Linked DNA regions of Arabidopsis thaliana. The protein of the gene in region 1 purifies or fractionates together with the protein of each later gene. This does not show direct contact. Each region holds a gene or a part of one and is shown on either strand. Other genes may lie near its edges.

The links. The genes of interacting proteins can lie anywhere in the genome.
Region 2: the proteins of AT5G46630 (region 1) and AT5G22780 purify together in Arabidopsis thaliana (affinity purification with a luminescence readout; 2 studies listed by BioGRID, with this or other methods). This does not show direct contact.

Annotation. Positions count from the first base shown.
Region 1 is NC_003076.8:18,918,447-18,922,201, reverse strand, and holds the start of AT5G46630 (Clathrin adaptor complexes medium subunit family protein), read right to left. Parts: upstream 1,765-3,755; 5' UTR 1,623-1,764; coding exon 1,540-1,622; intron 1,373-1,539; coding exon 1,195-1,372; intron 1,080-1,194; coding exon 989-1,079; intron 865-988; coding exon 770-864; intron 617-769; coding exon 527-616; intron 443-526; coding exon 394-442; intron 302-393; coding exon 163-301; intron 88-162; coding exon 1-87. Other genes in the region: AT5G46620 (uncharacterized protein), read left to right, coding at 3,074-3,349. UniProt on the Arabidopsis thaliana protein: Subunit of the adaptor protein complex 2 (AP-2). Adaptor protein complexes function in protein transport via transport vesicles in different membrane traffic pathways.
Region 2 is NC_003076.8:7,596,447-7,600,201, reverse strand, and holds the start of AT5G22780 (Adaptor protein complex AP-2, alpha subunit), read left to right. Parts: upstream 1-2,088; 5' UTR 2,089-2,373; coding exon 2,374-2,499; intron 2,500-3,277; coding exon 3,278-3,409; intron 3,410-3,755. Other genes in the region: RER1 (reticulata-related 1), read left to right, coding at 1-50, 161-225, 614-807. UniProt on the Arabidopsis thaliana protein: Subunit of the adaptor protein complex 2 (AP-2). Adaptor protein complexes function in protein transport via transport vesicles in different membrane traffic pathways.

The DNA.
Region 1 (3,755 bases):
ACAAAACTAACAGTCTTCTCGGAGTTGAATCTGGTCAGGTTCACACACTGGTGAAATGTGACATCATCAAGCTCAATGGTTTTACCACTGCACAAAACGAGAGTCAGTTAGCACAAAGAAAAGTCAGTGGCTACTGATGTTCAATGTATTAACAACGTATACCTCTTAGCTGGGCGAGATTTCATTTCTGATTCCTTCTCAAGACCAATTTTATCATTCAACCCCAACTTCAAATCAGGCATTCCCGAAAGGAAACATTTCATTAAAACCTTCCCCGTCACATCACACCGAAGAACATTGCCTAACCGTTTCCATAAAATGCAAAACCAGTCATACACAGCAAATCAACAAGAAAGACAACTTCAAAAAACTTCATAAAAGGCAATTATTTACCTTTAGAGGACATCAGAAGGTTTACACTTTCCACAATATCCAGAAACACCTGCGTTTGAGAGAATGCAAAATATCATCACTACCGCACAACCTAGCCGATCTACATACACACAGAAAGAAACTCAACACTCACCTCATTCTTTTTGTAAGCAAGGCCCTCTCTTCTCCAACCAACAGCACCTGTAACTTGTAATGTTGCATTTGGAACAGGTTTGTCTTTTGGCTGTAATGAAAAGAAGCTTATGAATGCAAACATATCTAGTGAAGAAGCAACATAATCTCTATTTATTGCGGGAAATACTGCTTAACTTCGAAGAACCACACACCAACACAATTACAAAATCTGTTGTATACACAAACAAATAGATGCCTTTACCTTCGATGAAAATGGTGACCGTACACCTTCCTGAGTGATATAAAGTTTTAAAATTTCAGGTGAGAGATTTTGTGGATAGCCAAAGTCCATAATCTCTGCAATTCAATACAAAATATCATTCATTGGTGTTACCACAAAATAGAATAACATATAACGACTAATGCAACTTTACAAGTGATAAGAAAGTGATTTGATCATGACCCTATCAGGCTTACTTACCATCCAACAATTCATAAATCAGAACAAAGTTATTTCTAATAGCGTCTTCATCAAAAGCTCCACCAAAGTATGATTTGAACAAAGCTACAGCCTGAAAATGTGAATCAAAAGCAGTATGTGTATAGAATCAATCTGACTCTCTTGAAATTTGAACAAGAATCAAAACAATTGTGGAATATTAAAATGAAACACAAAAACAAGTTTACCTCAACAACAAATTTGAATCCACAAGCAACATTAGCATTGCTACTGACAACAATGACGATGTAGACATTGCTGATTCGCATATAAACAAAGGAGCAGCCACCAATCTGACGCACAGGACAATTCCCTAACTCTTTCGTCTGCATTATATGCGTACGAAATGCATCCACCATGTTTCCCCTAAGTATCAAAATCAAATCAAAATTTTAAAATCTCAAATCTCACAGCTAAAATCCTACAAAGTACGACTACTTAGAAGCGATAAGAACAAAACATGGAGCTGAAAATGAAGCCGAATTCAAAAAATTAAAGAGATCGACGGTGAAGAAAAGGAGAAGCTCTCTTACCCGACGTCATCTCGGTAGGTGCGATTTATGAGTACATCGCCACGGAGATTCAGAAAATAGATGGCGGAAGCAGCCACCGGCATCTTCGATCTGAGATTCGAAACGCAGATCGGATAATTAGACGATCTGGTTACAGGAGATTTGAGATTTGAGGTTCGACGAGATCTCGACGACGGAGCAAAGGAAGAAGACGACGACGAAGAAGTTGAACAACTGAAATGCGATATTTTTTTAATTTCTTTTTTATCAAAAAATAGAAACAAAATTGAATTCAGTCGTCATTTTGGAATGGGCCGGTCTTATTCGATTCTGGGCCTGTGCGTCTCAATTATGGGCCTGTAGTACATTATATCCTTCATCATTTTTAATTGTTGTTTACATATGAAGAATGGTTAGGTAACAAACAATGTATAGAAGTTCTTAATTTTCAATTATTAACACTAGGTGATCACCTGCGCTACGCCGCGGTATTTTCGGATTTTTTTCGTATTGTTTAATTTAAATATAATTTTTATTTATCTAATTATTCACTTATACAATAAACAATTCCTTTTAATTTTAAAAATATTTTTTCTAACAACATTCTCAACAATGCATCATACACATAATTCATAAATAACGTTTGTATTAAACCAACTTAAGAGAGGGTAGTTTTGGATTCTAGAAACCTAAGAATTTGATGATGGAGCTCCTTACGTATTCTTCAACCTCAATGATTTATTGTATAAATATAAATTTAAGAGAATATAATATCAATTTAAGAAAATAACTTACTCAAATCATTAAATAATCCACGACTATTATATACTCATACTTTGAGTTTGGATTACAAAAAAAAATCTTCGAGTATGAGAAAACTATTAAATGGTTTTATTGAAAAATCATGTAATATTAAAATAAATTTAGTAATACTATAATTAAATATGTAAAATTAAATAATAAATATATCATTAACTTATAAATTAGAAGTTGAAGAGCTTACATTAATTACTTAATAGACACATGGCAAATGCTAAAATGATGATGTGTCAATCATTTGGAGAGAGTTAGCCAACTTTCATATATATGATTAACACGAAACTTTTCGAATTTTTTTTGTTCAATTCTCTCTGATGTCAGTGATGTGTAAAAGTAAAACTGTAAATGATCGCAATTTTTTTTTTTGTTCACTCACGAGAGAAAAAAAAAATGTGGAATATTTATTTAGTATATTAATAGAAACCGCGCCGTTAATGATAAAAAGAAGATCTTGCTCGATCCGTCTTTGATCCAAAAAAAAATTCATCTTTCTATAATTTGTTGCAGTGCATAAGAAGATTAACACAGTGTTCACGAGAGAGAGAGATTAAAGACAGAGATTTCTGGGTTTTAACAGTAGGAAATGAATATTGTTGGATTAAGAAGCGATCGGAGAAAGTAGCAAAAATCGGGAGAGGAAAGGGATATTCGAAAACCCTAATTTTGGAAGATCATTCATTTGAGAGAAAAGCTGTTAAATTTGAGGGCTTTAGATCGAATTTGATATCTGGGGTTAATGGGTTTTTTGAAGAAGTTAACGGGTATACTTGGTTTTGGTCATAACGATGGTGGTGGTGGTCATGGAGCTGTGAGAGATGAAGATGGTGATGGTGGAGATAACAACACTGGAACTGTTTCTGGTGATGGAGATAAACGTCGGGAAGAGAATCAGACGAGATTTCGTGAAACTGGACCAAGGAAAGGTTTTGGTGTACCGGTTCAAGTTGCTGTTGAACGGTCGAATCCTGGTCCTATTCTTCAGCCTTGTGCTGCTTTAGACGGTGGTGTTCAGGTCAGTTTTCCTTTTTGACTGATGATATTGGTTAGTGAAACTCTAGGGATTGATCAAATTCATGAGAATATGTGAATTACTTGTTGCTAGCTAGATAAAGAGTTATGGTTAAGTCTTACGAAGATCTGTAATGTGGTATCACATAGTGCAGTTTCATGCTAGTTCTGTAGCTGGATTGTGTATTCATACCTTTGGTTTGGATCACACTAAGTTGGATAATAAATTGGTTTGTGAGTTTGCGAAGATTCAGTCGTCTCTGTGGCCTACATTCATTTCATGTTCTGTGCGGGTGCCTTGCTTTTTTTTCACTTTAATATGGCCTCAAGATTGGCTTCGATATGCTTGTGTTTCATAAAAAGTACTTTATATGCTTCAGTAGATGACTTTACATTCGTCATTTCTTTAT
Region 2 (3,755 bases), about 11 Mb from region 1:
TGCGGCCTCATTGGTCAGGGAATTGCAAATCTGATCATGACAGCAAAACGGTATTCTTTCACCATCGACTTTATCTTGCTACTTTTCAATGATGAAATGAATCTTCTGACTGTTTAAAAAACTGTTCTTCACTGAAATTTGAGGTTACCTTTGTTAATAGGAGTGTGAAGAAATCAGAGGAAGACGTCCCTATTCCACCTCTTTTCGAAAGCGCTGCTCTCTGGGGTAAGCTTTACTTTTGATCTCTAACTATGTTCTACAGAATCATCGATGCTTTTCCCCTCTGATGTTCACTGAAAACGATAGTCTTGAACCGTCGATATTGTGTTGTCTACTCTTTTTCCGAGTTCTTGTGATCAGCCATCGGTTTCTTAACCGGGCTTAGTTTCTTAGAAAGGAAAGAACCTGAATTGCCAATGATACCAAGAATAGATTATGCTTACAATTCTATGTGAAGATATTAGCTACATTGTCCTGTTGTTAGCAATATTAGATCAATGGAGAGGGTAATTTAGTTGCTGAGCTCAGAGATAACCCTGAAGTTTACTCTGTGAATTGTTGATTACATATACATATATATTCACTCTCTTCTCTGTATTGCGCTGTTGTTCAGGTGTGTTCCTCGGCTTATCTTCCAATGCGCGTTACCAAATCATCAACGGCCTCGAACGCGTCGTGGAAGGTTCTACAGCGGCCAAACGTATCCCTGTGGTCGCTATGGCATTCACGGTGGGAGTCCGGTTTGCTAACAATGTGTATGGCGGTATGCAATTTGTAGATTGGGCTAAATTGTCCGGCGTTCAGTAATCAACCGGTTCGGTTTTGTTACAAACCGGATAGTAAACTAGCCTAGATGTCAATCCTCAGGAGTATGAGAGTATCTCTAATCTGATGGGGAAGTTTAGTTATCTGAGTTTCATTAGTGTGATTAGGTTATTTACCGAGAGCTACAGAAAGAGAATCTGGTTCATGATACGGACCGGATTCTTCTAACCGGAATACTACTCGATACAACATTTTCAATTTGGTTTTGGAAGTTGAGTTTCTCATGGTATCCTTGTCTCTCTTATTCATTTTTCTGAATCATATACTTGCAATAATGACTCAAACTTTTTATCAGCCGTTAGCCTCTGCGTTTTTATAAAGTTTATAACAATATGATCACAATGGCGAATTATGTCAACTAAACGTCATTTTTGACGTTTGCGTTGATTCATTCTTCTGTGTTTTTTTTTTCACTTTTCCCACCGTTAAAAGTGAGAAGGGGAAAAGGAGAATTGTTGGTAGGTGGAGATATTAAAAGTAATAAATAAAAATATTTAAAGCAACTATGAGTGAGTATATTACAAAAAAATCTTTCGATATTTATTTGCAAGGAAAATATTCTTAGGATACTTTGATGGTAAGGCATCATTCGATAGATGGAGGATCTTGCGAGTGACAGCTTAGTAACCACTGTCATCCAACTGCTGCATGATCCTCATCTTTTGTTCTCTTGTTTCTGTTTTGTGCCCCTTAATGATATTTTATTTATACTCCTTTACTTAATTTGAACAATTTATATTATATGCCCTATAGATTAATTAATGTGAATACCAAATGGTAATCAAAAGCTGACGACTGTTCAAAGGAACATTGTCCTCCCAAGGAAGGTGAATCATTTGATTAATCATCCCTACGTTGGGACCATAACTTGACCTGAATTTAAAATCCGGTTTTTTCATGGTCTCATGGTATGGTTATGTACTTATGTTATACTGAAATACCAATTGAATACATAACCGCGGTGAAAAACAGTTTAAGATTTTGAGACAGATTGTACAAACTTCGTTTTAATGGTGCAGTCTTTTGAGAAATGGCCAGCTTTCTTCATTTTTAATATATAAAATTAGTTTATTCCATGTTTATTTTTCGAATTACTCGTTTATTTTTTGTATTTCTCGAACTTGTAATCTTAAATTCGTCTGTTTAGCTCGTTTTAATTTTTGTTTTTTTTTGTAAACTCGTGAATTCTGTTTTTGGACGAGTCAATTTCGAATTTTCCAAATTCGCATGTGTTCAAAAATCAAAACAGACGAAACTGAATAACACAAAATTGAATAGTCAAAGTTGTAAATAATAAAAGTCGTCCCTCGTCTCTTCCCGCAGGCTTGTCTCTCTCTTCTCCAAAGATCACTCTCTCCTTTTTGAATTTCGTCCATTGGAGGTGTCATTTTCCGTTTCTAGATTAGGGTTTCGATCTCAGCTCTCGCGAATTGCTAATCCTTCAGCTGTGGTCTGCGCTTTCTGTCATAGTTAGATCCGGTTTCGCGAGTTCGGATCTGCGCCGTGTGAGGCGGTGGAGGACGGTGGATCTGAGGACTCTGTTCCACCATGACCGGAATGAGAGGTCTCTCCGTATTTATCAGCGACGTTCGTAATTGTCAGAACAAGGAAGCGGAGAGACTACGAGTTGATAAGGAGCTCGGAAACATTCGTACATGCTTCAAGAATGAGAAGGTTACTCTCAATTATCTCCATTTTTGTTTGCCTGTGTTTTATTCTCATTTTGAGTGGTAATTCAGTGACGGAGTAGTATCTGCCGAGGTTCTGTATTGATTAGATATATTGGAGATTTCTCCATGAAGCTACCTATTCCTCTGAGGTTGATTAGGGAGTTATATAAGAATGTAGTTGAAAGAAAGATGCAATCACTGGCCGAATATTTTATTAGGAAAGCCAGAGTTGCCGAGTGGATAGTTTTGGAAGCCTGTAGTTTCTTATTTTATCGGATTCAGGCTATAAATTTTTGATATAACACTAAGTGTGTACCTGGACAGGCAGTATTGTATAGCTAGCTCAGATCGGTAGAGATTAGCCATTATTCTACCCTTTGTAACATCACTAGTACTGCTTTCAACTTTGGAATGTCATTACTGCATTTAAAGTCCATAGATGGGAGAAGATCAATCAAGATATATAAGACACTAAATATATGATGATATTTAGGAACTAGAAGAAAAGAATGGCCTGGCAGTAAATTCGGTTATGTAGTGATGGTCTAAGGAAAGAAATACAGATCACGGAAAATTTTGAAAAGCTCATTACGAAATACATTAAGCTTTGTTGCTGTAAGAAGTTCTGGAGAGATAATCTGGTTCCATACTCTACGTAGTAGAGCTGTAGCCGGCCTGTAGTGGATCCATGTGTGGCCAGTTGGACCAACACCAAACTTATTTTAAAATGTTAGAAATAAATTAATCATGCACTCTTACTTTAACTTGTTTTATGTTTTCAGGTCTTAACACCATACAAAAAGAAGAAATATGTCTGGAAAATGCTTTATATACATATGCTAGGCTACGATGTGGATTTTGGCCATATGGAGGCAGTTTCTCTTATATCTGCGCCAAAGTATCCAGAAAAGCAGGTAAGCCAACGTTTTGTAACCAATGAAATATTGCTTTCTAAGGGTAGGAGAAGATAATAGGTGTGTGTGTGGTGGGGGTGGGGTATTTGTTTGATTCAAGTCTAGTGAGCAAGCTGAAACAAAAAAAAAAATCTCTGAAGATAATGGATGCTGGATTTAGATACTATTTCACAAGCTTGCAACTTATTCAGTTTGAATGGACCTGGTAAAGTACTGGAGGCATTTACTTAGACGCATAAGTTACTTAGTAACATCGTAGCAAATCTTAACCAGGAACCATGCATTGTATCCAAGGGTTTGTATTTGCAGTTTGTATTATTTTATGCTCACTACCAAATTTGCAGGT